Linked DNA regions of Oryctolagus cuniculus. The protein of the gene in region 1 purifies or fractionates together with the protein of each later gene. This does not show direct contact. Links are inferred from orthologs where the notes say so. Each region holds a gene or a part of one and is shown in the gene's direction. Other genes may lie near its edges. The genes, in order: MED9, POLR2B, MED31, MED13L, CCNC, CDK8 and MED13.

Region 1 (4,164 bases):
ATTAAACAGATGCGTATTTTTGTGGCAATGTTGGGCTTCCTGAAAGCAGCCCAGGCAGGATTTTTCTGACATATGCTTGCAGCATTACAAAACTTTACTCTTTGTCACTAATTATATGAACTATTTATAGGGCAAATTGTCAATACCCAGTATTTGCTCATGCATCTAACATTTTCAATTTGTGGGTTTTTTTGTTTGTTTTTTAGCCATATCTATTTATACCTGATTTTTTTTTTCTTTTTAAAGGACGTTCTCATTATGATGCCAATGACAAATTCGGGGCTTGTGATCAAACACGCTGGGAGGGGAAAAAAAATGACGCACGTTGCCATGGGGATATTATTGATGACTATTAGATTGCTTCTCAAATTCTGAATAGAAAGCCACGTTAACATTTTGAATCATAAAGTTACAAAACTAGCAGAAGCCTGAGGAACCTGGCTGAGACCATAGGTTTGGCGTTAGGCAAACTGGGTGACCCTAGACCCACACCCATTGTTAAGTCTCAGTTACTTTGTCTTTAAAATGGGGATGCTTTGGAGTTGGCGTCCTAGCGCTGTGGGTTAGGCCAGAGCTTGGGACACCTGCCACCCACACTAGAGAGTTGTTTCAGGTCCCGGCTGCTCTGCGTCCCATCCAGCTCTCTGCGGGACACCTGCCCCCCACACTAGAGAATTGTTTCAGGTCCCGGCTGCTCTGCCCAGCTCCCTGCTAATGAGCCTGGGAGGCAGCAGATGATGGCCCAGGTGCTTGGGCCCCTGCCACCCACGTGGGAGTCCTGGATGGAGTACCTAGCTCCTGGCTTCAGCCTGGCCCAGCCACAGTTGTTGGAGGCATTGGGAGAGAGAAGTATCCGAGAAAAGATTTCCGCGTGTCTATCACTTTGCCTTTCAAATAAAAATAAATTTAAAAATGTTGAACAGTTGTTTTAAAAAAATAAAATAGCGGGTCGAAGCCATGGTGCTGTGGGTTAAGTCGCGGCCTGCAGCGCCGGCATCCCATATGGGCGCCAGTCTGAGACTCGGCTGCTCCACTTCCCACCCAGCTCTCTGCTAAAGGCCTGGGAAAAGCAGCAGCAGATGGCCCAAGTACTTGGGCCCCTGCACCCGCGTGAAAACCCTGAACGAAGCTCCTGGCTCCTGGGTTGGCCCTGGCCCAGCCCTGGCCGTTGAGGTCACTTGAGCTAAATCGCCTGTTTCTGACTAATTTACTTAACTAGACTCGCAACCAAATCCAGCCTACACCAGCCCGCCCACCGCATGTCGCCTAGCAACAGCCTCCTCCCCTCACGCCTGCGCTTTTACCCCGCCCCCTGCTCAGTGCGCATGCTCAGATCCGTGCGTCCGGCCCCGCCCCTGCGAGGCGCTCAGCAGTGACGTGTAGAGTCCGCGACGCTCCCGGCGAGCCGAGCCGGTGAAGTGGGGGAGTTGGCTCGCTGGACCGAGCCCCGGGGCCATGGCCTCGGCCGGGGTGGCCGCTGGGCGACAGGCCGAGGATGCGTTACCGCCACCGGCCGACCCGCCGCTGACCGAGACCAAGCCGTTGCCGCCGCCGCAGCTGCCGCCACCGGTGGCCGCGCCCCAGCCGCAGCAGTCGCCGGCGCCCCGGCCCCAGAGCCCCGCCAGCATGAAGGAGGAGGAGAACTACTCCTTCCTGCCGTTGGTTCACAACATCATCAAATGGTAAGGAAGGGCCCCGGAAGAGGGGGCCCCGCCGCCGCCGCTGGCGCTGGCGCTAGGAGGCTGCAAGGGTGCGTCCCCATTTCTCGGGCGGGCAGGCCGAGGCCAGGGGGTGGGCAGGGGCCTCTCCCGAGAGCTCGCGGCGCCTGTCCGGGCGCATGGGGGCGCCGGGGGGCGCCGTGCTCTATGCGGGGGACACTTGCTCCGAGCTGGCCGGCACAGGTGGCCGGGGGCCTCGGGAGCCTGGGCAGCGTCCCTGAGGCTCCGTAGGGTTAAGACGCGCTCTGGTTTTCTCCTCGTCTTCAGCACATCCCGCAGAGAAACATCGTCGGGACTGCATAGCGTTCTGCTAGGCGTTACGGGGTGCGCACGGTAAAAGGGGCCGACTGCGGGCCGGCCTTGTGGCGTAGCAGGTAAAGCCGTCGCCTGTAGCGCCAGCATCCCGAATGTCTCCAGTTCGAGTCCCGGCTGCTCCACTTCTGGTCCAGCTCTCTGCTGTGGCCTGGGAAAGCAGTGGATGATGGCCCAAGTCCTTGGGCCCCTGCACCCACGCGGGAGACCTGGAAGAAGCTCCTGGCTCCTGGCTTTGTTCGGGCTATTTAGGGAGTGAACCAGTAGATAGAAGATCTCTCTCTGTTACCCATAATTATGTTACCCATAATTCATACAGATTGAGCCTGCAGGGCTGAGATGGCCTGCAGAGACACAGAAATCGCCTCCACCGGGCCTGGACTAACTTGATCCCAGCCTACCTTGAAAGGATATGGCCGTGCTGTTGGCCAGCCCTCAGGGGAGCCCAAGCTTTCGGACAGACAGGCTCTGGAAAGGAAAAAACAAAAACAGACAAGAAACCAAAGTCCCCCCCGTTCCACGCTTGCCTGAGTGAGTACGCCGCTGGCGCTGACGTCACGGAGTGGTGCCTGGGAGAGTGAGGAGGTGCAGCCGAGGCATCGGCCGCTTGCTGCAGGCAGACACGTCCCAACGGGACATGCGTGGTGTTTGGCCTTTCGTGGAAGTAGGAGGAGTACGTTCTGAAACAGCAGTGAGAGGTATAGGACAGCCAATACGAGGATTGTTTTGAAAGTTCACGGAAAAGTGCGTATTATGGAAAGATGTGTATGGGTTTCATTTTATTTTTCAGGGATTGGTTTTACTTATTTGAAAGGCAAAGTGATAGGGAGGCAGAGAGAGAGAGAGATCTTCCATCTGTTGGTTCACTGCCCAAATGGCCACAACGGCCGGCCTGGGCCAGGCTGAAGCCAGGAGCCTGGAACCCCATCCGGGTCTCCCACGTGGGCGACAGGGGCCCCAAGCACTTGGGCCATCCCGGCTGCTTTCCCAGGCGCATTATCAGGGAACTGAATTGGAAATGGAGCAGCGGGGACTTGAGTAGGTCCTCATGTGGGATGCCAGCATCAACGGCTTGTGCCACAATGCTGGCCCCTGAACCAAAATTTTAGTTCCATTTTTCCAGTAACTTTTTTTTTTTTAATTCATTTGAAAGGCAGAATTACAGAGAGGCAGAGAGAGAGAGAGAGAGAGCTTCCACCCAATGGTTCACTCCCCAAATGGCTGCAACAGCCGGAGCTGTGCCGATCTGAAGCCAGAAGCCAGGAGCTTCTTCTGGGTCTCCCAAGCAGGCAGGGGGCCAAGGACCTGGGCCATCTTCTACTGCTTTCCCAGGCCATGGCAGAGAGCTGGATCGGAAGTGGAGCAGCCGGGACTAGAACCAGCACCCATATGAAATGTCGGTACTGCAGGCGGTGGCTTTACCCACTACGCCATAGCGCCGGCCCCGCAGTAACTTTCTGAAGTTCCCTGTATGAGAACTGGCAGTGCAGTCGGTTTCTTTCCGTCGGAGTCACCACGAACAAGGTTGTTTTCAGCCCCGTTTTAATCTCATGCCACCATTCGTCGTGTGTGTAGTCTGTTGTTGGCTGACTCACGACTCAGTGCTAGATGTAAACCCCCAGGCTTGCCACTCGAGCTCAACCATTTAAAACCAAAGCAAGCTAAACTTGACACCACCACCATTGCGGGGGCGTTCAGGTTGAAGGTTGATGGGCTTGCCGATGCTGTGCTGAGATGGAGTCGCTGCTGACAACGTGGACTTTTTTTTTCTTTTAAAGATGTATTTATTTGGAAAGAGTTACAGGGTCCGATGTTACCTGCGGTGCTGCCTTCCCATATAGGCACCGGGTCGAGTCCTGGCTGCTCCACTTCGAATCCAGCTCCCTGCTAATGGCCTGGGAAAGGCAGCAGAAGATGGCTCAAGTGTTTGGACTCTGCTACCCGTGTGGGAGACCCAGAAGAAGCTCCTGGCTTTCACCTGCCCCAGCCCTAGCTGTTATGGCTGTTTGGGGACTGAACCAGCGGGTGCAAGATCTCTCGCTCTGTCTCTCCTCTCTAAGTTTGACTTTAATTAATGAATAAATCTTAAAAAATTTTTTTAAAAAAGGAGTTACAGTGAGAAGAAGAGACAGAG
Region 2 (4,207 bases), on another chromosome or scaffold:
GCAGGTCCACCTTGTTCCCCAGCACGATCAGCTGCTTGGGGCCCACCAGCGCGGGGAGGTGGCGCAGCAGCGGGTCGGGCAGGTCCAGCAGGTCCAGCAGGTAGAGCACCAGCGCGGGCCCGGGCCGCCGCAGCGCCGCGCTCACCTGCTGCAGGTACTGCGCGCGGCTCACGCGCAGCCGCAGGGCGCGCCGGTGGTGCACCAGCAGCCAGCAGCGCTGGCACACGGCGCGCGCCAGCTGGCCGTCCTGCGCGGCGCGGGCGAACTTCTCGCTGGGCAGGTAGCCGGGCACGCCGGGGTCCCGGCAGTGGAGCTCCGCCCCGCAGCCCGAGCAGGGCAGGCCGCTGGGCGGCACCGCCGGGTCCGGGCGGCCCGCGGCCGGGGGCGCGCGGAGGCTGGCCCGCGCCTGCCGCCGCTCCGCCCGGCGCCGCGCCTGCTCCTCCTGCTCCTGCTCCCGCTCCCGCAGCGCCCGCAGCAGCTCCTCAGGCGTCGGCGGGGGCTCCGGCTCCGGGGTGTACTCGGGGAACAGGAAACGCTCCTCGGTGTCGTCCCCGGGCGCGGCGGGGCCTTGAGGGAGCGCCCGCCGCAGGCCCGACGGGGGCTGGGAGGCGGCGGCGGCCGCGCATCCCGTCCGCAGCAGCCGCACCGCAGGCGCGGACCACCGCACCACGGGGCCCAGCAGCCTCCCCGCTAGGCGTGCGGGCAGCATGGGGATCGCGGCCCGCCGCGAGGGGGCGGAGCCACCACCGAGCACGCGCAGTGGGGCCCCAGGCGCCCGTTCTGCCCCAAACCCCGGAGGTGCGGCTTCCTTCCACCTCGAGATCCCGCGAGTTATCGCGATGAAAGCGTAGCGGGAAAGCCGCGGTATCAGCCTCCCTTGAGGGCACAGGTTCGAGTCCCGGCTGCTGCACTTGCAACCCGGCTCTCTGCTGGGGCCTCGGGAAGGCAGCAGAAGATGGCCCAAGTCCTTGAGGCCCCTGCACCCACGTCGGGGACCGGGAGGAAGTTCCTGGCTTCAGCTCCGCGGTTGTTGCGGCCACCTGGGGGAGTGAACTAGCGGTCGGAGGACCTCTCTGCCTCGTTGTAAATCTGCCTCTCAAATAAATAAATAAATCTTTCTTCAAGCTTTCTCAAGGCGCTACGGCCAGCACAAGTCGCACTTAATCCCTTTTAGTTTTGTGGCTTCCTGGTCTTTGGAGTGCAAACAATACAGCCTTAAACCTGCGAGCTCACGCCACGGCCAGAACCGCTAACAAATTCACTTGGATTTTTTTCAGGCGGGGTTTGTTCAACGTGAAGCAGCTGTAGAGCCGCCCCTCCGCCTCGGACTGGTCGCGCCCCGGCTCAGCCGCGCCCGAGCGACCCCGAGCCCAGCCCGCCCTATGCTTCAACTGGCGCAGGCGCAGATCCCACCTCGGCGACGGTGGGGCGGGCCTTCGGGGACGCAGAGAATTGTGGGAACACCGGAACCGGAAGTTGCTTCGTCTCTGCCTGCGGCCCTGTGGCGGCTGCTACGCGGTTTTCTGTCTCAGTGGTTTTTCTTTTTGAGGGTTAGGATCTCCTGGACCGTTTGCCAACATGTACGACGCGGACGAGGGTAGGTGACCATGCAACGCAGACTCCGCGGCGGGAAAATGGGGGAGCTGGACGGCTTTGCGTCCGCCGCCCGGAGACCCCCGCGGTGTACCCCCGCCACCCCCGGGCCGCGGTCCGAGCTGGGCGTGCGGGAAGTGGCGGCGCGGGGGATGCGCGCGTGCAGGCTCCTGGCCGGCTGTGTTCGTCCCGTGGTGGAGTGGCGTGCGGAACCGTAGGCAGATGGCGTTGTTCCGGCTCGGGGGCGTCCCGACGGTCCTCGGGTCCCCGGGCCACCGATGGACGGAGTGGCGCTGGCCATCCGTTAGGTTGTGTGCTGGGCCCTGGGAGCACGGCGGCCGCGGGTGGCCCTCCTCCGTGCAGTCCTAAACCTCGGGGAATTGTCTCGAAGGTGTCCTTGGAACTGACTGCGCCCCAGAGGGACGCGCGGCCGCCAGAGAGGTGTTCTGGCTCCCAGTCCCGTAGCCCCCCTGGCATCCCACCCGCTCGCCTCCGCTGCCTCTCGGAGGAAGCAGAAGCGCAGGCTTAGCGTCTCAGCGCCGGGGCTCATCGGACCCACCAGCTGTCCGGTTTGAACCGCGTCCACGCAGGTAGCTGCTGGTACAGATTCTCCTGCTCCAAGGTTTCTTTACGTACGTGTGAGTGAGCGTAAATGGGATTGTGTGGTTCCCCGATTTTCAGACAAAAAGCACCATTCGTGCTCTCCTGTATTTCTATTTCTTACATAGTATTATGTAGTGGGCTTTCCTGCCAGTGTGTGGAGTCCATCGTCACTGCTCGCTTGTTTAGATGTAGTGCGACTCAGCCAGTCTCTTAGGGATGGGCATTTGCATCATTCTCGTCTTTTCCTGGGAGGGCAGTGGAGGACGGCCCAGTGCCTGGGCTCCTGCATCCGCGCGGGAGACCCGTAAGAGGCTCCTGGCCCCGGGCCTGCCCAGCTCCGGCTGCTGCAGCCATTGGGGGAGTGAACCAGCGGATGGAAGCCCTTTCTCTTTCTGGAACTGCCTTTTAAGTAAATAAAAAATATTAAAAAAAAAATCGCTAAATAGAGAATTGTCAGGTCAAACGGTATATTCATTTAACATTTTGCAGGATGGTGCCAAGTGACCACTGTGCTATTAACTGCGAATTTACATTCTCATTAGCAACGTATAAAGTACCTGTGGAAGAGAAGAGTGGTCCATGTTCCATTCCTGCCTGTTCTGAAGTCTGTTAGATACGCCCTCATCAATTAGGCTGCTCCTTTCGGATGTTGCCATGTGAAAGTGTCAGATCTCTCTTGGCACCTGCAAAGAAGTTAAACTCTGCTCAGTTGTTTCTTTCCTGGGAATATCTGACCTTTCTCCTTCCATGGGCGACCGGGGTTCTCAGAAGAGTTTGTGGCCTCTCAGGTTTTCAGCACATTCTAATCTGATCTCAGTGCTGCTTCATTAAGATGCCCTTCCCACTGATACAGCCGGTAGCACTGTGTAAGCCTCAGGCAGGCCCTGCGGTATTTAGCATCATGGGTGAGTTCCTTTTGGCAGCCCATCTCCTCAGCCTTAGCACCGTCACTTGATTCTTACACCTATCAGACTTTGTCCCTTCTCATTCACTCCTGCTGTTCGCGTTTTCCGTGGCTTCAGTTACTGTGTATGTGGATGACGTCTCAATACATACGCACACATTCCCAGCTCAGATGTCCTGCGTCTCTAACTGAAGTGTCTCTGGGCTTCTGTAAATTGTCACTGCCCAGGCTGAGCTCACCATGTTTTTTATGCACCCCCGCTCCCATCATCATCTGCACTTCCAAAGCCATCGGCTTCTGGGTTGTCTGTCTTAGAGCATGGTACCACCCTTCTCTTTTGTGGGAACCAGAAACCTGGGCGTCATGTATTTTTATTTAAAAGTATTTTGATTAACACATAATATTTGTACATTGTGTGCAGTGCCAAGCAGTGTTTCAACACATATATGTAGTGTAAACTGATAGTCAAGCAGTTAGCATTTCCATGTCCTTATGCTTAGAACCTATCAGATCCTCTGTCCTGTTTATTTAATTTTTTTTTTTTTTTTAACAGGCAGAGTGGACCGTGAGAGAGACAGAGAGAAAGGTCTACCTTTTGCCGATGGTTCACCCTCCAATGGCTGCCGCGGCTGGCGCGCTGCGGCCGGCGCACCGCGCTGATCCAATGGCAGGAGCCAGGTGCTTCTCCTGGTCTCCCATGGGGTGCAGGGCCCAAGGACTTGGGCCATCCTCCACTGCACTCCCTGGCCACAGCAGAGAGCTGGTCTGGAGGAGGGGCAACTGGGACAGAATCCGGCGCCCCGACCAGGACTAGAACCCGGTGTGCCGGCGCCGCAAGGCGGAGGATTAGCCTAGTGAGCCACGGCGGCGCCGGCCCAGTGATAGACTTTCTACATGAGTGACATTAACTCAGTCAGTTGAGCCATCACTGCTGCCTTCCAGGATGTGCATTAGTAGGAAGCTGGAGTTAGGGGTCAGGGCCAGGGACTGAGCCCAGGTACTCTGATGTAGGATGCAGGTGTTCTAACCAGCATCTTACCCCAGGCCACACACCTGCCCCTCGTTGAGTTCTTTATGTAGTATACAATATATAATTTTTAAAAAAGA
Region 3 (4,060 bases), about 16 Mb from region 1:
ATGGCCCGGTTCACTGCCCTGCCTTTACATGTAGGAGCCCGAGTATGGACTGGAAATGGCAGATGTTCTGCTCCCAGTAGTAGACACAATTGGGCCATCGCTGGCCTGCTGGAAGACCCCTTTGTCCTGCTGGGTAAATCACTGACTGCAAGGCAGGGTCAAAAAGCAACAGACACCCCCCCCCCACACACACACACACACTGTCCAGGGGAGGGCACGGCCTCCCACCCTCCTCTGGAGCCTCTCCCAGGCCTCTCCTCTCCCAGCTGCAGCGCGTCTCCAACTGGGCACCACTGACACGTTAGGCCCCGTGATTCTGTGGTTTTGGTGCTGGGATCCCTGGCCTCTACCCACGACTTGCCAGCAGCACTCCTTGTACCTAACACAAACGTCTTTAAACATCGCCAAGTATCCCCTGGGGGACAAAATCCTCCCCCCCCCCTCCAGGATGAGAACAACTGTTCTGCAGCCCACACGGAAGGCAGAAGGTATTTTAAAAATGCGGTTGCATCATGTCAGTCCTGTGCCGAAAACTATGCAGCGTGTTCCTGTTAGACTAGAACCTGAGTTCCCGTGGTGACTCAAAGGCCCTCTAGAAACTGGTCCTGCCTGTTGCCGTCCCCTCTCTGCCTCTCACACACGAAGCTCCCAGCTCTCCCTTCTTCTCTCGGGGAACGTTGCAAGCTTGCTCCCACACACCCTTCGCACTTCTCTTCCTCCGGCCTAGGGTGCACTCCGCTGAGACCCCCGGGTGGGGGTGGGGCGCTCGGTGTCACCACACAGGTCTCAGCTCCACTGTGGCCTAACCAGCAAGGCCTTCCCCGTCCATCCCTCTATACCACCACTCTCCGCCTCTTTGCCCGTCAGCCCCGCGTGCGGGCTTTGTCACGCGTGGGGAGGCCCAGGGCGCGGCTCGCGCAGGAACCCAGGAACCGCGGCTGGGCTGTTTCTCACACCGACATGTGGGCTGCCTCCAGGAAGCCAAAGGCGACTGGGGGACCCGGCTGGACACAGTAGGCAGCCTCGCCTCCAGCCGCTTTGACGAGGCCCTGAGCACTCGGGAGGGCACGAGGGCGCCGCTTCCTGGAAGGCGAGGTGTCCACACTGGGGTGAGGACGGCTTTCCCCCAAGGGCCGAGGCCATTCTATAGGTGTTGAGGGGACCGCTCAGCACACCTCTACGCTACGTCACGAGGTGAGAAATGACGTCACAGTAGCGACCTGCCTCCTAGGCGGCAATGCCACTACACGCTGACGTGAAACACCTCCAAATACGGCGCTCCCCGGGCCGCAGCGCCCGGCTCAGGAGCCCGAGCGGGCGGAGCCAGCAGCGATGGGCGGAACCGCTGTCCTCCCAGCGCGGCTGGGCCCGCCCCCGTATCCCACAGTGCCCCGGGGCCGGAAGCGGGGTGCTGAGGCTTCCGGAACTTCCCCAGCCAGACTGGGCAGAGTCTCTGCCGAGCTGGTGAGAGTTCGCGTCGTTCCTTGTTATGGCCGCCGCCGTCGCCATGGAGACAGGTGAGTCGCGCTCTGAGCCGTGCGCTCCGCCCGGACCCCTTCTCCTGCCTGCCCGGGGCCTCCTTCAGGCCTAACGGAAGGGGCTTGGAGTGGGACCCGGGAGGCGAGAGGGCTCTTGGAGCATCTGGGAAGGTGCCGGCAGCTTTGCCTTTTTCAGAGTTTGGTGGCTTCGCACATGTTTTCTCCCCGCTTGCTGTTCACTCAGCGACCCCACCTTCGTCCCAGCGTGGGTGAGACTGAGGGACAGCACTGGAATCTTTTCTTTAAAAAAAAAACAAAAACTAGTATAAAGAGAACAGATTGCATAGGTACAGTTCCAGGAGACCCATACTTCCCTCTCTCCTCCTCCCCCCACTCGCGTTCCCTCCCCTACTTTTCATTTTTTTTGTTGCCAAGGCATAAATTTGATACAGTCTATAATAACGGCTTATTTCACCACGAACCGTAATATAGAGCCAGTCAAAAGTAGGAAGACCACCAGGAGCATAAACAGGGGCTGAAAGTGACAGTCGTGTCACCAGACAGCACTTGGGTCTGCTTCCGCGGGAGCTTGCATGAGTTTGGGGCGCCCTGGACCAACTTGCGTTATCCTGCCACTGATGCTGCCATTCGGGGTCTTCCGGCGCTCCGCAGTCTCCTAGCTCGCACTCGGAGCTCCTCACCGCCATCGACAGTAGCTACAGTGTATTAATAAAATACAGGGAGGTAGACTGTCACCCCATACCCGGTCACTCACTGCTGAGATGGCTCCAGTGACCCACCGAGGGAGGTCTCCTGCCGCATCTGTGTTCCCCTTGTCTCTGATGACTTCTCTTCAACGTTAGAGGGGTTTCTAGCTGCCTTAATCAGAGTTCTCCTTTTCTTAGGTTCCTAAGGAATTATGCCTCCCAGAAGTGTAGCTCAGCATTACGCAGGTTTCCTGGCTGCTGTTTCCTTTCGACCCATCGGTGTTGTATTTAGCGACCTTTGTCTTGGATGATTTTTGCTGTCTTCTCTCCTAGATGATGCTGGAAATCGACTTCGGTTTCAGTTAGAGTTGGAATTTGTACAGTGTTTAGCCAACCCAAATTACCTTAATTGTAAGTTGTTCACCTAATTAAATTGAATAGCTATTAATGATTTTTTGACAAGAGTTGCATTTCCTAATAGTATCTACTTTTATATATTCTCAATTGAATAGAATTGCACTTAAAGCAATTCTGTAGCTGTAACTGAGCAAACTAGGACTTGTGGGCTGGTGGTAGTCCAAGCATCCGTCTGACCTAGGTTTTGTTTTTTTTTTTATGCCTTTCAGTTCTTGCTCAAAGAGGTTACTTCAAAGACAAAGCGTTTGTTAATTATCTTAAGTACTTGCTGTACTGGAAAGAACCAGAATATGCCAAGTATCTAAAGTAAGTTTAATTTTTTGTAATCCTCGGTGTATGTATGTTTTACTAAAACCCAAAACGTGGATACGTAAATACTTCTTAGTTTCACACTGGTAAAAATGTATGTTGAATCTGCACGTTCTGCGCGTTCGGTTGTCACTGCCTACCTCTTAATTTGGATTCCTGCAGAAATCACTCACTGTTGGCTCTGTTTTCTGCTCTTTCCTCACTACCTCACCCAAAGCCAATAAAGCAACGCGATTTTCTACCCAGAAGCCGATGTGGTCCCTGGGAACTGTAGCTTAGAACATGCTGTCTGTTCCTTAGACCTGGGGGGCCCTCCCTTCCTGGCAGTGAAGTCTGCGGCCCGGCCGCATCTGGCCCAGTCTTCTTGACCTCCTCTCTACCAGTCTCCCCATTTCTCTGGGTTTCTGGTCTGAAGGACTCTGGTCCTCACATGCAGCAACATAGCCATTGACTGATAATAAAAGATCACACAGAAGTACCTGTGAGGAAGATGTGGAGGATGTCACTGTGTCTTCCAGCAGCGATCTTTGTGCCCAAATGCTTTGCATTCAATAACTAAAAAACACTGCACACTCACAACTGTTTCCGTACACATGCCGGTCCTTCAAAAAGTAAATGGAAAATGGATCCAAAAGACGAGTTTGTATTGGTGCAAAAAACTTTTGGAGTCCATGTGTAAGGGATTTCCAGAAGTTCTTGAAAAATTGTGTAATATGAAATAACCAAGTATAGACTACAAGCTTTTTATATCCAAATAAGCTTTTAATTCAGGTTTTTCCACAAACTTTTTGAACTACGTGTATGTGTGTTTGCCATTCAAGTTGTTCCAGAGACACTTTGACTTGAAGGCCAATTACATTTGCAAGGGGCATATTATGACCAGAAACCTATTCCCTTTCAATGCGGAAGGCTGCACTTACTACTTTGCTTAGTATTAGCCAGGTGGTTGGAAAGCAGTGGTGAAGCTTTTCAAATTTTTTGAAAAATTATTTTATTTGGAAGGCAGACAGAGGGAGAGAAAGAAGTCGCCCATCTGCTGGTTCACTCCCCAAATACCCACAGCAGCCATGGCTGCGCCAGGCCAGAAGCTGGGAATCAGGAACTCAGCTTGCATCTCTCATATGGTGGCAGGGACTCAAATACTTGAGC
Region 4 (4,130 bases), on another chromosome or scaffold:
AGTTATAACAGACCCAGCATGGAGCAAGAGCTCAGGGGACGTTTATGCAATGAATGAATGAATGCACACAGGAACTAGGATCCCCGCGCTCCAGCATGTCTGTATTGAACGCACAGGGCCTGGCGTACAGTACGAGCCTGGCTGCACTGCACGCTGGTGGCAAGGGTTCGAATCCCAAGACCTCGGGCAAGTGACTTGAGCTCCCTGTGCTTTGACTTCCCCCTCGGCAAAAGGCGTAGAGGCTTCGATGGACACTCCGAAGCACTTGGACCCTCTGCCCGGCCCACGGGAGCCCTCGTCACACCGGCTGGCCTGGGCGGTCGGCAGCACCGGCGAGGGCCGCGGGGCTGCAGCTACACCAGGTCCGCTCGGGGCCGGCGATCGCGCCCCCAACGCGCCAGGATCCGCGCCCCGCGAGAGCGCGCGGCCGCCCACGGCAGCCTCGGGTCGGCTGCCCGCCGCCCGCCACGGGAGCCGGCCGCCTGCACTTCTTTCTTTCCTTCTCCGGCTCCCTCCCTCTTCCCGGCCGGAGAACGCGGCTGCTCTCGGCTCAGCAGCGCCTCCCGCGAGCCGCCGCCGCCGCCGCCGCCGCCGCCGCTCCGGGCCCCTCCCCCGCCCGCCCCCCGCCCCCCCGCGCGGCCGGCGCCCGTCACGTGACGCAGCGGCAGCCAATGGCGAGCCGAGCCGCGGTCGGCGGCCGCCATTGCTGTCAGAGCGAGCGAGCCCGGGGAGGGAGGAGAAGCGAGGCTGACTGGGGAGGAGGGGGGGGTGGGGGAGGAAGAGGAAGGAGGGGACGTCGCTCGGCTGCCGGGGTCGCCCGCTGGCTTCGTCCGCACCCCCCCCTTCGCGAGTTCGCGCTCCGCGGCGGCGGCGGCTCCGAGGCGGCGGCGGCGGCGGCTCCGGGGCTCGCCTCCCCTCACGCGCCGGCGGGGCCCGAGGGGGAGTCGGTGGCTGGAGATAAACAAGGCGGCGGCAGCGGCGGCGGCTGAGGATCAGGGAAGGCGGAGGCGGCGGCCGGCCCGTAGCGCCGGCCCGGGAGGCAGCGGCGGCCCTGAGAGGCGGGGAGGGCGCCGGGCCGCGCGGACAGCGCCCCCCGCCGCCGCCGCAGCCGCCGCCGCCGCCGCCGCCCGAGCAGGAAGGAGCCGCGCGGCCGCCGCGGACCCCCCCGCCGGCCCGGGCCCGCCGCCCCCGGCGCGGCGTCGCCGCGGCGCCTCCCGCCCGCCCGCCGGCCCTCCCGCCCTCCTCCTCCTCCTCCTCCTCCTCCTCCTCCGGCGGCGGCGGCGGCCCGGCCGCTCCGCGCTCCCCGGCGAGGCGCCGCCGCCCGGCCCGGCCTCGCCTCGGACGCCTCGCTCCGACATGCCCCGCTCTGGCGGCCGGGCTCGCGGAGGATCATGACTGCGGCAGCGAACTGGGTGGCGAACGGGGCGAGCCTGGAGGATTGTCACTCCAACCTCTTCTCGCTGGTGAGTAGCCGGGCCGTGGGGAGGGGGCAGGCCGGGGGGGGGGGGTCTCCGACCTCCGCCGCCGACCAACTTTCTCCTCCCGCCGCCGGGACTTCGCCCCTCCCTCGCCTCTCCCCGCCGTTCGCCTCTAGCTGATTCTCCCCCTTTTGGATCGTCGCTCCCTCGCCTTGGATCCCATCCAGTGTTTATTTGGCTCTTTAAAAATCATTTGTGAGCGCAGCGCTCGGCGTGGAATTTGCATGTGGAAGTCTCCAAGCTGCGGATTCTGGGTCGCACTTCGAACGCCCACCCTCTGTTGCAATCACACCCCCCTTCCCCTCCCCTCTTCCCCGTTTTTTTTTTTTTTTTTTTTTTTTCCCCCTCTCCCTCTCCTCTCCCTTCCTTCCTAAACGTGGAAGGCTTTGCCTGGTGCTCCCCGCGCCTGCCATCAGCAGCAGCCTTTGCCCCTCTTGTCGGATCGGCCGCCCGCCTGCCTTTTGAATTTTTTTTTTTTTTTTAAATTCCATAATGACAGCCGCAATTTCGCCCGAAAGCAGTTGATTGAATGCGATTGTGTGGCTAAAGGACCGTCGCCCCCGGAGCTCCGGCGCTCGTAAACACGGACCTGCCGGCCGCCTCCCGGGGCTCCCCGCGCCGGAGCCCCGAGAGCCAGGCCCCCGAGCCGACGGAGGGCGGAGAGAGCGTCTCCTCCCTCTCCCCCTGTGTCTTCTAAAAACTGTTTTCTCTCTGCTGACAACAAATCCACACACACACACACACACAAAAGCAACAAGCTGGGCGGTGTGATAACATCGCTTTTATCTGCCTTCGCCTCTCGCGCTCTCGCTCTCTGATAATTGACAACTTTTCCTCTGGATTTGCATCGCCTGCCTTAATCTTGAAGCAGTTAGGGTGTCAATTGTTCTCGCGGAAGCCCGGCACCCGACGACGGCGTCTGGATCCATCGAAATTAAAAATGTATAGGGCTCCGGCAACTCTTTCCTGGCGGTGGCAGTGACATTTGGTGGTAAATGCCATCTTTGCTTTTTATTGGGTCGTATTACCTAGCTCCGAAAACATTCACGTTGTTCAACCTGGTGTTTAGACTAATAATTGCAATGCGTGGTCTTTAAATGTGTGCTTTGTGCATGAGTTACTGTATGTATAGCTATGTGCCCGGGAGACTACGAATTTGTTTAAATATTGAGCAAAGATTTGTAAACAGATGTAAGGCAATTATGTTTCAAGCGTAGAATATAATTGGAAAATTGGCAGAACGGTTTATTTAATTTAACCTTAAAAAAAAAAAACTTATTTTAAGTTGTGTACCCTGTTTTTTTGAGGGGGGGCCTCTGGACTCTTGGAGAGCATGCATTTTGGAAATTATTTTCTGTAACCCCTGCTGTAGATAGAAGCATTATTTCCTCTTAATCCTTGTTTATGCTGGGTAAATAATTTAGTGTTCAAATTGTAATTAGTTACATTTAATTATGGGTGGCATAGATGCTTTTTTCCCTTTGAGAATAGTGGGGAAATAGAAAATCTTGCCAACTTTTCAAGTGGAAGTATTATTTTATTAAATACATTACAGTATTTATACAGATAAAAACATCACATGTGATTTTCTGTCTACAAACATGGAATGACATAGTGTTGTTTCCACTGTGGTGTGGGATCACCTTAAGTTTTTTCTATCATCAAACATTTTTATCCAGATATTTAATCTTAACATTGAATTGCAAGCTGTGAATCTTCTCTCAGCACTGTGAGAATTTTCCCTTGATCTTTTTGTGTGTGGGAATAAAACTCACTTTGCCTCTTTTCCTCTTCTGTCTTCCTCTCAATCTATCATTTGGTATGAGGTTGAGGGACTTTCATAGATTAGCAAATGTATTGATTAAGGGGCATTTAAAATGGTTTTTGTTTGGCGGCTGGTGACCACATTGACACTTTTACAGGTAATTAAAACAACCAAGTAGACGGATATTAGTGAGGAGAGAGTGCCCACATTACCATGTATCATGCTGACTGGTAATGGCTTGTGTGTATGTGGCTAATTTCTACATGCACTGGATTTTGTAGACAGATGAAAGTGTATGATTTGTACAGTCTCTAAGGTGTATCATTTCTTTCACTTTCTAATAGAGCGTAAGTAAGAATGATAATGTTACAGAGATAAGATGCTTGAGATTCTTGTGGAGAAACTGAGTGTTTTAGGAGGGGATTCTGTACTTCTACTGACTCAAGTTTTGTGTTTTGGGTTTTCTTCCTTAAACTTCTTTACCCAAGGAATTATTTCTTGAATGCATTCTTTTTTAAAAATAGAATTGTCTTTGGGTAGTAACTTTGAAATGCAGAACCACAGAAATGCTAAACGTGATTTTTTAAAAAGAACTTTATAATGTGCCTACATTCCCTTATACATGGAGGGTGGATAATGTGCAATTTAAAAAAAAATTCTGAATTAAGCTGCTGACTTGTAAATTTTTCTAGTTCGAAATTGAGCATTTTTCTTGAAAATCATGTACAGCAACAGTCTGGGATATTAAAAATGTTACCTAAAATACATTGTATAGTACAGTTAATTACAAAGGAGATGTGATCATACCTGTCCATGTGTTTAATAAGAGCAAATATGAGAATATATTGTTGGGCCCAGTGTTTTCTTTTTTATTTGATTGCTTTTGA
Region 5 (3,500 bases), on another chromosome or scaffold:
TTTTGTTAATTCGTTGCGACATAGCCTCTAACATCTAGGATTGTATTAAAAGCTACCTAGTGATCACTAAATACTATTGTTAGAAGTCTGTTTCCTGGCAGTGTGGTTTCTACCCTATTTTCTATCTTTTCTACTCAAATTTTGAAAACATTAAAATTAATCCATTACATCTACTTTGGTGGAGAAGAAAGAGCTCATTGGAAAACTATATATGACAGATTTGTAGCTCCCAGTTTTTGAACACATTAACTTAGATAAAGAATACTTAACAGAGAGTTAATACAACATACTACCTCCCATTAAATTGCTAAAATTGTTCTTAGAGGAATATGGTGTATAGTGGTAATTCCTTCATGATTAGAACCTTTATTTATTTATTTATTTAAAATTTATTTATTTGAAAGGCAGAGTTACAGAGGGACAGGCAGAGAGTGGTCTTCCATCCACTGGTTTATTCCCTAAATGGCTGCAACAGTTGGAGCTGAGCCAGTCCAAAGCCTGGCGTCAGGACCTTCTTCTGGGTCTCCCACATGGGTGCAGGGACCCAAGGACTTGAGCCATCTTCTACTGCTTTCCCAGGCTAAGATGTCAGCTGATAGAAGGAATCCAACTATAGTGATAGATAAGGCAGACAAGATACTTCCAAGAGTTCACAGAAAAGTGGAATTAGGGAATGGGCATTTATCCTAGCAGTTAAGATGCTGTGTTCCACATTGGAATGCTTGAGTTTATTTCTTGGCTCTGGCTCCTAACTCCAGCTTCCTACTAATGCAGACCATGGGAGGCAGCAGTGGTGGTTCAAGTAATTGAGTTCCTGCCTTCCCATGGAAGATCAGGATTGAGTTCTTATCTCCCTACTTCAGCTTGATTCAGCCCCAGCCATTGCAGGCAGCTGAGGAGTGAACCATTAGATGGGACCTGTCTCTGTCTTTCAAGTAAATAAAAAAATATTTTTTTAAAAATGGAGTTTAAAGGTAAGGTATTTAGGTACAGAAGAAATTTTGAAATCCACACATGAACTTTTTATACATGCAGAAAGATGAAAGGCTAGGAGGAAAAGCCTAGGTAGTAACATAGTGAAAACTACTGCTTTCATGTTTATCAAGATTATCTAATCTAACCTGAGTAGTTAAGGACAGATACCTCATGTCCTTTTTCTGGGTGTGTTTTTTTTGTTGTTGTTTTTGTTTTGTTTTGTTTTTTTGTTTTTGTTTGTTTGTTTGTTTTTTGGACAGGCAGAGTGGACAGTGAGAGAGAGAGAGAGAGAGAGAGAGAGAAAGGTCTTCCTTTGCTGTTGGTTCACCCTCCAATGGCCGCCGTGGCCGGCGCACCGCGCTGATCTGAAGCCAGGAGCCAGGTGCTTCTCCTGGTCTCTCATGGGGTGCAGGGCCCAAGTACTTGGGCCATCCTCCACTGCACTCCCAGGCCATAGCAGAGAGCTGGCCTGGAAGAGGAGCAACCGGGACAGAATCCGGCGCCCCGACCAGGACTAGAACCTGGTGTGCCGTTGCTGCAAGGCGGAAGATTAGCCTAGTGAGCCGCGGCGCCAGCCCCTTTTTCTGGTTTTTAAGGATGTCTAGAATGTGGTGTTTGTTCTTTGTATACGAAATATTGGTTGTTTTTACCACTGAGAATTTTTCAAATACTTTCTTCTAGATTTTGGAAATTATCAGGGTTATTTTAAAATTATATGAACAGTGGAAGAATTTTGATGAGAGGAAAGAGATGGCAACAATTCTTAGTAAGATGCCGAAACCAAAACCACCTCCAAACAGGTACTTTGTAAACTTTTATTAGTTTCATTTAATCACATATCATACTCATATTTTTCTTTGATTATGTTGTTTTGTATCTTAAAATTTCTACAGAAACTTCATGATTCATGCAAATTTTTTAAATTTGTGACTTGATTGAAAATATCTTGTAAAAATACATTAAATTGATCATCTGTTAGTAACTTTATCTAACACGATGGAGGTCTATTACAGGTATCCCTCAACATATGGCCACATACTATATATAAGTTTAAATGGAACAGAATTAGGCAAGTTCATATGAAATTCAGGGATAGTTATGGAGCAGTTTCATTTCAATTATCTTGTGCTATCTTCCTGCACCGCCCACTTACCATTACTAGCTATTACCCTGTTTTATAAATCATCATAATGGCTTTTAAAAATCTCATTGAATGATCTGATATTGGAAAGAATTTTGGTTTTTGAGTAACACTAAGATCCATAGACACTGTACCATAATTTTCTGTAAAGTGGAACACCTGTGCTAAGAATTTTTTTTTTTTTTTTGGTTATTGTTTTAAATAAGATTTGTTCATTTACTTCAGTGGTTCTCAGCCTTCACCATAAATCAGATCATTTGAGGTAGGGAAAACAGGTCAGGTGGAAAATAAGGAAATGCTACCCATCTTAATCATTTTTCTGGAAAATTAACTAAGTCATATAGGAGGGATCTTCAAAAAGTTCATGGAAAGTGCATATTATAAAAAATTATGCAAAATTTTTTGCACCAAAATAAACTTATACTAACTTATTACAAGTTTGAACAGGATCTTATTTGAGATACTAAGAAGGATAAGACACCAATTTGAAAAGAGCCCCTATTAGAACAACATGAATTCTACAATTGAAGCAAGAAAAAAACATCAAATTGATAGTAAAGCTTGGGTGGAGGAATGGTGAAATCATTGAAACCTTATGAGAATTTTATGGGGTTAGTGCCTCAAAGAAGTAAGCAGTGTACAAATGTATAACTTATTTTAATAAGGGATGAAACTTGAAGATGAAGCGCACAGTGATGGCAGATCATTTATATCCATGTACAAGAAGAAAATTAATCACATTGTGCCCTAATTGAATTGGACCAACAGTTAACAATAGAAACAATAGCCACCACTCCAGACACCTCAGTTGGCTTAGCTTACACAATTCTTACTGAAAAATTAATGTCGAGCAAATTTTGTGCTCAAGAGGTACCAAAACTGTTCTGCCTGGATCAGCTGCAGACTAAAGCAGAGCTTTTAATGGGAATTTTTAAAAAATAGGATCAAGATCTCAAGGCATTTATTTGAAGAACTATAACAGGAAGTGAAACATATATATATACAGTATGACCCTGAAAACAAAGAATAATGGCTACCAAGAGGTAGAGTAGAAGTGGTTCAGTCAAAGCAAAAGTGACCAAGTCAAGAACAAAGGTCATAACCATAGTTTTTTGCTTGTTGACTTTCTAGAAGGTCAAAGAATGATAACATCTCCTCATTATAAGAGTGTTTTGAAAAAATTAGCCAAAGCTTTAGTAGGAGTCTTTAATCAGTCTTTTCCCATTATAACAATGTTCTTGCTCATTCTTCTCACCAAACAAGGGCCTTTTGGAGGGAAATCATAGGCATCCACCTTACAGTGATAAGGTTCCTACTGACTTTTTATTTCCTGATATTAGAACAGTTTTCAAAGAGCACCCATTCTTCAGGTGGTAATGTAACA
Region 6 (3,500 bases), on another chromosome or scaffold:
GCAGAAAGAGCACGGAAGGAGAATGGAGGACACAGCTTTGTGTCACTGGGAAGGATAATCTCAAGATTTCTACTTTGAGGAATTGACAAAATAGAGAAATCGGGGCAAGGAAAAAGTAAGGAGGAAATTCCATTTAGGAATTTAAGTAGACATTTAGTTTACATTATGTGATGTCTATGGAGGACAGTTAGCAAATATTTTTACCAGTGACTTCAAAGAAAAGCAAACCATGAAAGGCCAATTAAAAGTGAAAGGTGCTTGTCACAGTGCTGCTTGCCTAGTGGGCTTTCATTAAAAGTCTTTGGTATTGATGGAGAAAGCAGGTGATCTGACATGAGTTGTTGGAGCAACTCTTAAGGCCAGCAAACCTGGCTGAAACATTTTGTTCTTAAAATTTATTTAACAACTTTTGTTTTACTTAACACCCCAAAAATTATTTAGTAGCTAGGAGTTTTTATTTAGTGTCGGGTAATGTTAATAAAAAAAACCAAGATACCAGCCGATTATTAATATTACTATTTCCATCCTACACCCAGTTCTACTGCAAACAGTTATTACTGGCTATATTGATTGCTGATGTAAATAAGGAAATTGCTGATTTGCCAAGAAGTGTGGTGGAAAAGGAAAAAATAAATTATTATACTAATAGAAATAGAACTTTTTAATAATAAATAGAAATACTTATAATATTCCTTCCTAGTTATAGTAATTGAGGCAACTTAACAATAAATCATATGGAAAGCAAACAATTTAAAAATTTAAAAGATGAACAGATATAAAAGCTATTTGAGCGGATGAGGAATTGTATTTACAGTTCAAGATGTTTATTGTAGCTGAACATTTATTTGAACTCTGAGCTTCCAGAGAGGCTAAAAGAACTGGAAATATAGTGAAAATGGAGGTAATCTATATTGAAATTCTAAAGAATAGGAACCTAGGCAACATAAAAATTTATCAATGTGTTTCACAGATAAAGATTGGGAAGATATAAAAAAGATGCCCGAACATTCAACATTAATGAAAGATTTCAGAAGAAATACGTAAGTTGGAAAGAAAATAGACATTTGTTGGTTTTTGCTTCTCCAGAATACTCAGTTTAAGATAGAACACTCAACATACTCAACATAACATTACTTCAATAAGTAACTTAATTTATTTACTCTAGTAAATATTTTTCATAGCAGTCTTCATAAGATGATTAAAAATTATATGAAAAAATGACTAATAGAGCCAATTTAGATACAGAGGGAGAAGTCAGTTCTTTTCTTTCCGATATTTACTACTTTCTGGAAGCTAGATATTAGTGAAAAATATCACAGCTAAAGAAGTAAGGAACTAAAATAAACCTTAGCAGTTACTCACCTAGGTTGTATAGTCATTTTAAGCAAGTTTTAATACAGAAGAATTATTATTTCAGTTATTTACAAAGCAAGGCCAATGGTTGGGACAGCTTGGTTTGTAAACCTACAGCAAAGGTATTTTAAAGTTACTGGTAAGGCTGAGTTAAACTTTTGACCCAGATGTTGTCTAAAATAATTAAGATGTGATTCATGTGAAAACAGCTACTCAGTATATATTATTCATGGAATTATCTTGCATTTAATCATTGGCATCCATTCAAAAAGTGACTAGTATGGGTATTGAATGAGTTATAAAATTGATTTAATGCTTTTTTTATGCTGATCAGTTATGATCAAAGTAATTCTCTTTGGAAGGACTTGAGCCAATGTAAAATTAACCTCACATCTAATACAGATATTTCATAGTATTTCTCTTTCAGGTATACCAACTGCAGCCTTATCAAGTATATGGAAAAGCATAAAGTTAAACCAGATAGTAAAGCATTCCACTTGGTAAGCTTTAAATAACAATGCTAATGAAATTCATTTTTTCCCCAATTGACTACCACCACCTGAGACTTTTTTGGGTCAGTTTATATGGTTGATTAGTACTCCTGGAGTACTTTAATCATAAATGCAAAGATCTTGTGTTAGTAAAGACATCAAAAAAAATTTGCTTTTCCAAACCTGTATTATGACCTGACAGACTAATGTTTTGTCATATTAGATTTTCTAAAGGTAGTAATTATGACAATTCTGTGAAGAGCACTAAAAGTTGTATTTAGTGTTTTTCATCTGTTATTTTTAAATTTCAAAAATCTCAGGGATGTATAAAAAAAAACAGTTCCACCTTCTGAAATAATTTCTGCAAACTATTTGGTATTTCAACTCTTGAAAGAATGTTTACAGAATTTTTAACTCCGTGATACTTTTATAAACCTGTGCATTAGATATGCCTCAGGGATGATATGTATTACATGCTTTTTCTGGAAGAGTGTGAGAGATGCAGTATTTCTCTATGTGTAATGGAAAGGTAGTTTGACCTAGAATGTGTATGAATCTGAACACTAGCAAAGTAATTTGTGATGAGATCATATTCAGTGATTGACAAATTCAGTTTGTTTGCAGTAAAATTTTGTCACCAAGATGTTTTTCACTTTTATGTTTTTAAACTTTTATAACATAATGAGGGGAATTTGTAGAAGCAAGTTATATTTTGCTTGGCTTGAAATTTTTTTAATCCTTTTTCCTGTTTTTTTTTTGTTTTGTTTTGTTTTGTTTTGTTTTTTGTAGGGGCATGTGGGAGGGGGCAGACAGTGTAGAGATTTCAAGAGAGAACTCCTATCCATTAATTCACTCCCCCAAATGCCTGCAACAGCCGGGGACTGGGCTGGGCTGGAGCCAGGAGCTGGAAACTCAACGTAGTCTCCCATGTGGGTGGCAGAGACCCAGTTACTGGAACCCTTGCTGCTGCTTCCTAGGGCCTGCATTAGCTGGCAACTAAGGTCAGGGTCTGGAGGCAGGCATTGAACCTAGGTGTTCTGATATGGGGTGTGGGAATCTGAATGCTAGGCAAAATGCCTGCCCCTCAAGTATTTTTAAATGGAAATTCCTTTATCTTGAAAACATGAAATGTTTCCTTTATTGCAACCAGGTCGCTTGGCAAGCATTTCTTGTATTTCTGCTTCTGTTTTATTGTCTTCCTCTACTTCTGATTTTAGAACTTATTTTATCATGTCATATTTTATATCATATATTTCATACCTTATTAGTAATTTGAAAAGCAATGCTTAAACTGTCATATTACCACACATTGTACTATTCAAATCATTTATTCTGATGTACTTAAGACAAGACAATTGGAAGGCTAAGTTAGATCCTTCAAAATCAGACTTTTTAATTCTAACAAAATGATGATAGTGGTGGTAGACTAAAAGTCATGACATAGAGGAATTTCTCTGACTTTTCCCTAATTCCCTACTACTCATTAAAGTCTGAAATGACTCAAAACCATCACCACTGAAAATCTAGAGGTATACCTTATTGCTTTAACTGTTTTGCTTATTAATCCTGGCATGACCTATCTTAACTGTTGATAATCTTGAATGGTCCCATCTGAAACTCTATTGCAATCCATTAAAATTATTGGGTACTTTAAAT
Region 7 (3,500 bases), about 31 Mb from region 1:
TAGGATCTAATGTTTTAAGTTATAGAATTCTTGATTTGCTAATAGTTTTAGAAATAAAATAATTTGTAGCTAACCTCTGTAACACCAAGACATAGTTTTCTTGTGTGTGTGTAGCTAAGAAAATGACCAAGTACTTTAGACTTGCTTATAATATCATTGAGCGTCCTTTAGACTTAATCCACAGAGATGCAGAACCAAATTAATTCAGAGGCATTTGGCATTCCAATAATTTGAACCTTATGATAACATTCTACCATTTTACCATTTTGGGTTTTAATTAGCTATTGGTGTAGAAAATATTTTTTCAACTTGTGGTTTAGGAGCCTTTTTAATGATTTGATGGGAATTTGCTACATAATATTTATTGCATTTAATTAGTTGCATCTAGAAAATGTAATTTTATTTTATTTCATGGTAATCATTTATTTAATTTGCATGAAAAAGCTGGTTTACTTTTACAATTCCGTTTTCAATTTCTAGGTGAAAATAAGCTAGTTGATACTAAATTGTTAGCAGGCAGTTTAGGGAGAGTAATTACCAAGAAAGTATAAATTAGATTATTATTTTATTCATAAAGAATTTGAAAAAGAACTAACCAGTGAAATAAAGAATTTAAATACCCTTCCTGTTTTTATCTTTAGGTCCTTATCTTGCTTCGCAGCCACTGGACAGCTCTCTGCTTTCCCAGCCAAATTTAGTTACCCCTCCAAGTCAGTCTTTGATTACACCATCTCAGATGGCAAGTACTGGAAATACTAATACTCCATCAGCCACCCTAGCATCTGCAGCAAGCAGCACTATGACTGTGACTTCAGGGGTTGCACTGCCTACTTCGGTTGCAACAGCTAATTCGACTTTGACCACAACTTCATCTTCTTCATCCTCCAGTTTGAATAGTGGAGCATCATCAAATAAACTACCTTCATTTCCACCCTTTGGCAGTATGAGCAGTAGTGCTACAGGGTCCATGTCTGCACAAGCAAGTGCAGTTCAGAATGGCCAGCTAGGGGGGCAGCAGTCATCAACTCTACAGACAGCTGGGATTTCTGGAGAGTCATCTTCGCTTCCTACTCAGCCACATCCTGATGTGTCTGAAAGGTATCTTTAAAAACACTGATTTTTGCACAAATATAAAAACTATGATTCTTAATTTTTTCTAAATATGAGTTATGAGCATTTTCAGTATCTGCTAAATGGGGTGTAATGTGATATAATATGCATACATTGTGCTTTATGTAATGCTTCCAAGTTTTGTTTTCCTTTTTTTAAAGGTTTATTTATTTGTAAGTCAGAGTTACACAGAGAGAGAAGGAGAGGCAGAGAGAGAGAGAGAGAGAGAGAGAGAGAGAGAGGGAGGTCGTCCATCTGCTGGTTTACTCCCCAACTGGCTACAACGGCCAGAGCTGCGCCAATCCAAAGCTAGGAGCCAGGAACACTTCTGGCTCACCCATGTGGGTGCAGGGGCCCAAGAATTTGGGCCGTCTTCTACTGCTTTCCCAGACCATAGCAGAGAGCTGGATTGGAAGTGGAGGAGCTGGGACTTGAACTGGCCCATATGGGAGGCTGGCACTGGAGGCGGCAGCTTGACCCACTACACCAAAGCCCTGGCCCCTCCAAGTTTTTTTTATAATGACCATAGTGATGACATTTCTCATTCCCTTTTTTTAAAAAGATTGATTTGTTTATTTGAAAGGCAGAGTTAGAAGGGGAGACAGAGCTCCTCTGTCTGCTTGTTCACGCCCCGTATGGCTGCAATGTCCAGGGCTTAGCCACGCTGAAGCCAGGAGCCTGAACTCCATCTTGGTCTTCCTCATGGTAGGAGCCCAAGTACTTGAGTCATCTTTTGCTGCATTTCCAGGCATATCACCAGGAAGCTGGATCAGAAGTAGAGCAACGGACTCAAACCAGTGCTCATATGGGATACTGGCATCACATGTGGCAATTTAACCTTGACGCTACAACACCGGCCCCTCTCAGTCCTTTTATGATGAAAGTATTGAGTGAACTTCCCTTTTAGTTTATAAATTTGGTTAGGCTGAGCATTGTTAAACCTGTCATCTATCCAGGATACAGTTGTTCGCAGAGTTATACTCATATACATCGATAAAAAAGCAGACTATTCCCTATATTAATCCAGCCATCTTAAACATCTAAACAGATTCGAAGTTTAAAAAAAATTAGCCATCAAATAATGTAACTGGTTTACCATTGAAATTACGAAGTATGAAATGTAGTAGAACATTGAATAGATCTGGGAATCTGGTTTTCTTTCTTTCTTTCTTCCTTCCTTTCTTTCTTTCTTCTCTTCCCCCCCCCCTTTTTTTTTTTTTTTTTGAAGATTTATTTGAAAGAGTTAGAGAGAGGGAAAGATAGATCTCCCATCCATTGATTTACTCCCTGGATGGCCATAACGGTCAGGGATGAGCCAGGCTGAAGCTGGGAGCCAGGAGCTTTATCCAGGTCTCCTACATGGGTGGCAGGGGCCTAAGCGGTTGGGCCATCTTCTGCTGTCTTCCCAGGTCACCAGTAGGGAACTGGAGAGGAAGTGCAGCATCTGGGACTCACCTGGCACCCATATAGGATGCTGGCGCTCCAGGTGGTAGCGTTACCTGTAGAACTTGGTTTCTTTCTGATCTTGATTTAGCCAATTTTGTGATTTGGGGCTGCTACTGAGATAGGTCTTAGACAGAGGACCAGTTTTATCCTTTATGCACTAAACTCTCATTTCAGATATACTGCAGTTTTAAGAATTTTATTTCTATTTTCTTCTTATGCTAGTACGTATGTATGTATGTATGGTTCACTGATACTTCCCACCAAAAACAAAAAAAGGGATGGGGGATCAAGAGCCTGCTTTTGAATGCACTCCCAGCAATACAGTACAAGTTTTTGTCTTACTTCTACTTCATATTTTAGCACGATGGATCGAGATAAAGTGGGAATCCCCACAGATGGTGATTCACATGCAATTACCTATCCACCTGCAATTGTTGTTTATATAATCGATCCTTTTACCTATGAAAATAAAGATGAAGGCACTAACTCTTCTAATGTGTGGACTTTGGGACTACTTCGATGCTTCTTGGAAATGGTCCAAACTCTTCCTCCACATATTAAGAGTACTGTTTCTGTACAGGTAAGATTGATAAATATTGTGAGTTAAATATTTGTAAAACAGTTTGCTGTTTGAAAGATACTATTTTTCTGTTTTCAAATTGGTGTTCTGAAAGCCAAGTTCTATTATTGATTTAACTTTAAGTGATATAGATGTTAGCTATGTTGTAATAACATACCTGATGTAAAATATAAAATTCTTGATGATATGATATGTTGTAAAACATGAATTTTACAATCATACCACAATAATAATGAGAAGTAAAAATTGCATATAGTATATAGTATGTTAAATACTGGTCCTGTGTTAACCTTTTAATCCAGTGTTTAAATTCATAAGCCTAAGCAGGTAAACGTAGCATGGACCTGTATAAACTGGAGTTCTA

Evidence for each region.
Region 2: the proteins of MED9 (region 1) and POLR2B purify together in Homo sapiens (affinity purification with mass spectrometry; 4 studies listed by BioGRID and IntAct, with this or other methods). This does not show direct contact. The link is inferred for Oryctolagus cuniculus from reciprocal best matches to the Homo sapiens genes MED9 and POLR2B.
Region 3: the proteins of MED9 (region 1) and MED31 purify together in Homo sapiens (affinity purification with mass spectrometry; 4 studies listed by BioGRID and IntAct, with this or other methods). This does not show direct contact. The link is inferred for Oryctolagus cuniculus from reciprocal best matches to the Homo sapiens genes MED9 and MED31.
Region 4: the proteins of MED9 (region 1) and MED13L purify together in Homo sapiens (affinity purification with mass spectrometry; 5 studies listed by BioGRID and IntAct, with this or other methods). This does not show direct contact. The link is inferred for Oryctolagus cuniculus from reciprocal best matches to the Homo sapiens genes MED9 and MED13L.
Region 5: the proteins of MED9 (region 1) and CCNC purify together in Homo sapiens (affinity purification with mass spectrometry; 4 studies listed by BioGRID and IntAct, counting the BioPlex papers as one, with this or other methods). This does not show direct contact. The link is inferred for Oryctolagus cuniculus from reciprocal best matches to the Homo sapiens genes MED9 and CCNC.
Region 6: the proteins of MED9 (region 1) and CDK8 purify together in Homo sapiens (affinity purification with mass spectrometry; 10 studies listed by BioGRID and IntAct, counting the BioPlex papers as one, with this or other methods). This does not show direct contact. The link is inferred for Oryctolagus cuniculus from reciprocal best matches to the Homo sapiens genes MED9 and CDK8.
Region 7: the proteins of MED9 (region 1) and MED13 purify together in Homo sapiens (affinity purification with mass spectrometry; 6 studies listed by BioGRID and IntAct, with this or other methods). This does not show direct contact. The link is inferred for Oryctolagus cuniculus from reciprocal best matches to the Homo sapiens genes MED9 and MED13.

Annotation. Positions count from the first base shown.
Region 1 is NC_091448.1:66,357,103-66,361,266, forward strand, and holds the start of MED9 (mediator of RNA polymerase II transcription subunit 9), read left to right. Parts: upstream 1-1,364; 5' UTR 1,365-1,455; coding exon 1,456-1,682; intron 1,683-4,164.
Region 2 is NC_091439.1:107,684,745-107,688,951, reverse strand, and holds the start of POLR2B (DNA-directed RNA polymerase II subunit RPB2), read left to right. Parts: upstream 1-1,407; 5' UTR 1,408-1,578; coding exon 1,579-1,597; intron 1,598-1,984; exon of another isoform or gene 1,985-2,183; intron 2,184-4,207. Other genes in the region: NOA1 (nitric oxide-associated protein 1), read right to left, coding at 1-709. UniProt on the Homo sapiens protein: Catalytic core component of RNA polymerase II (Pol II), a DNA-dependent RNA polymerase which synthesizes mRNA precursors and many functional non-coding RNAs using the four ribonucleoside triphosphates as substrates.
Region 3 is NC_091448.1:49,926,708-49,930,767, forward strand, and holds the start of MED31 (mediator of RNA polymerase II transcription subunit 31), read left to right. Parts: upstream 1-1,260; 5' UTR 1,261-1,489; coding exon 1,490-1,517; intron 1,518-2,518; coding exon 2,519-2,596; intron 2,597-2,811; coding exon 2,812-2,908; intron 2,909-4,060. UniProt on the Homo sapiens protein: Component of the Mediator complex, a coactivator involved in the regulated transcription of nearly all RNA polymerase II-dependent genes.
Region 4 is NC_091452.1:12,779,944-12,784,073, reverse strand, and holds the start of MED13L (mediator of RNA polymerase II transcription subunit 13-like), read left to right. Parts: upstream 1-1,330; 5' UTR 1,331-1,391; coding exon 1,392-1,463; intron 1,464-4,130. UniProt on the Homo sapiens protein: Component of the Mediator complex, a coactivator involved in the regulated transcription of nearly all RNA polymerase II-dependent genes.
Region 5 is NC_091436.1:72,185,563-72,189,062, forward strand, and holds part of CCNC (cyclin-C), read left to right. Parts: intron 1-1,656; coding exon 1,657-1,775; intron 1,776-3,500. UniProt on the Homo sapiens protein: Component of the Mediator complex, a coactivator involved in regulated gene transcription of nearly all RNA polymerase II-dependent genes.
Region 6 is NC_091440.1:96,689,384-96,692,883, forward strand, and holds part of CDK8 (cyclin-dependent kinase 8), read left to right. Parts: intron 1-970; coding exon 971-1,040; intron 1,041-1,780; coding exon 1,781-1,853; intron 1,854-3,500.
Region 7 is NC_091448.1:35,500,617-35,504,116, forward strand, and holds part of MED13 (mediator of RNA polymerase II transcription subunit 13), read left to right. Parts: intron 1-641; coding exon 642-1,098; intron 1,099-2,916; coding exon 2,917-3,136; intron 3,137-3,500. UniProt on the Homo sapiens protein: Component of the Mediator complex, a coactivator involved in the regulated transcription of nearly all RNA polymerase II-dependent genes.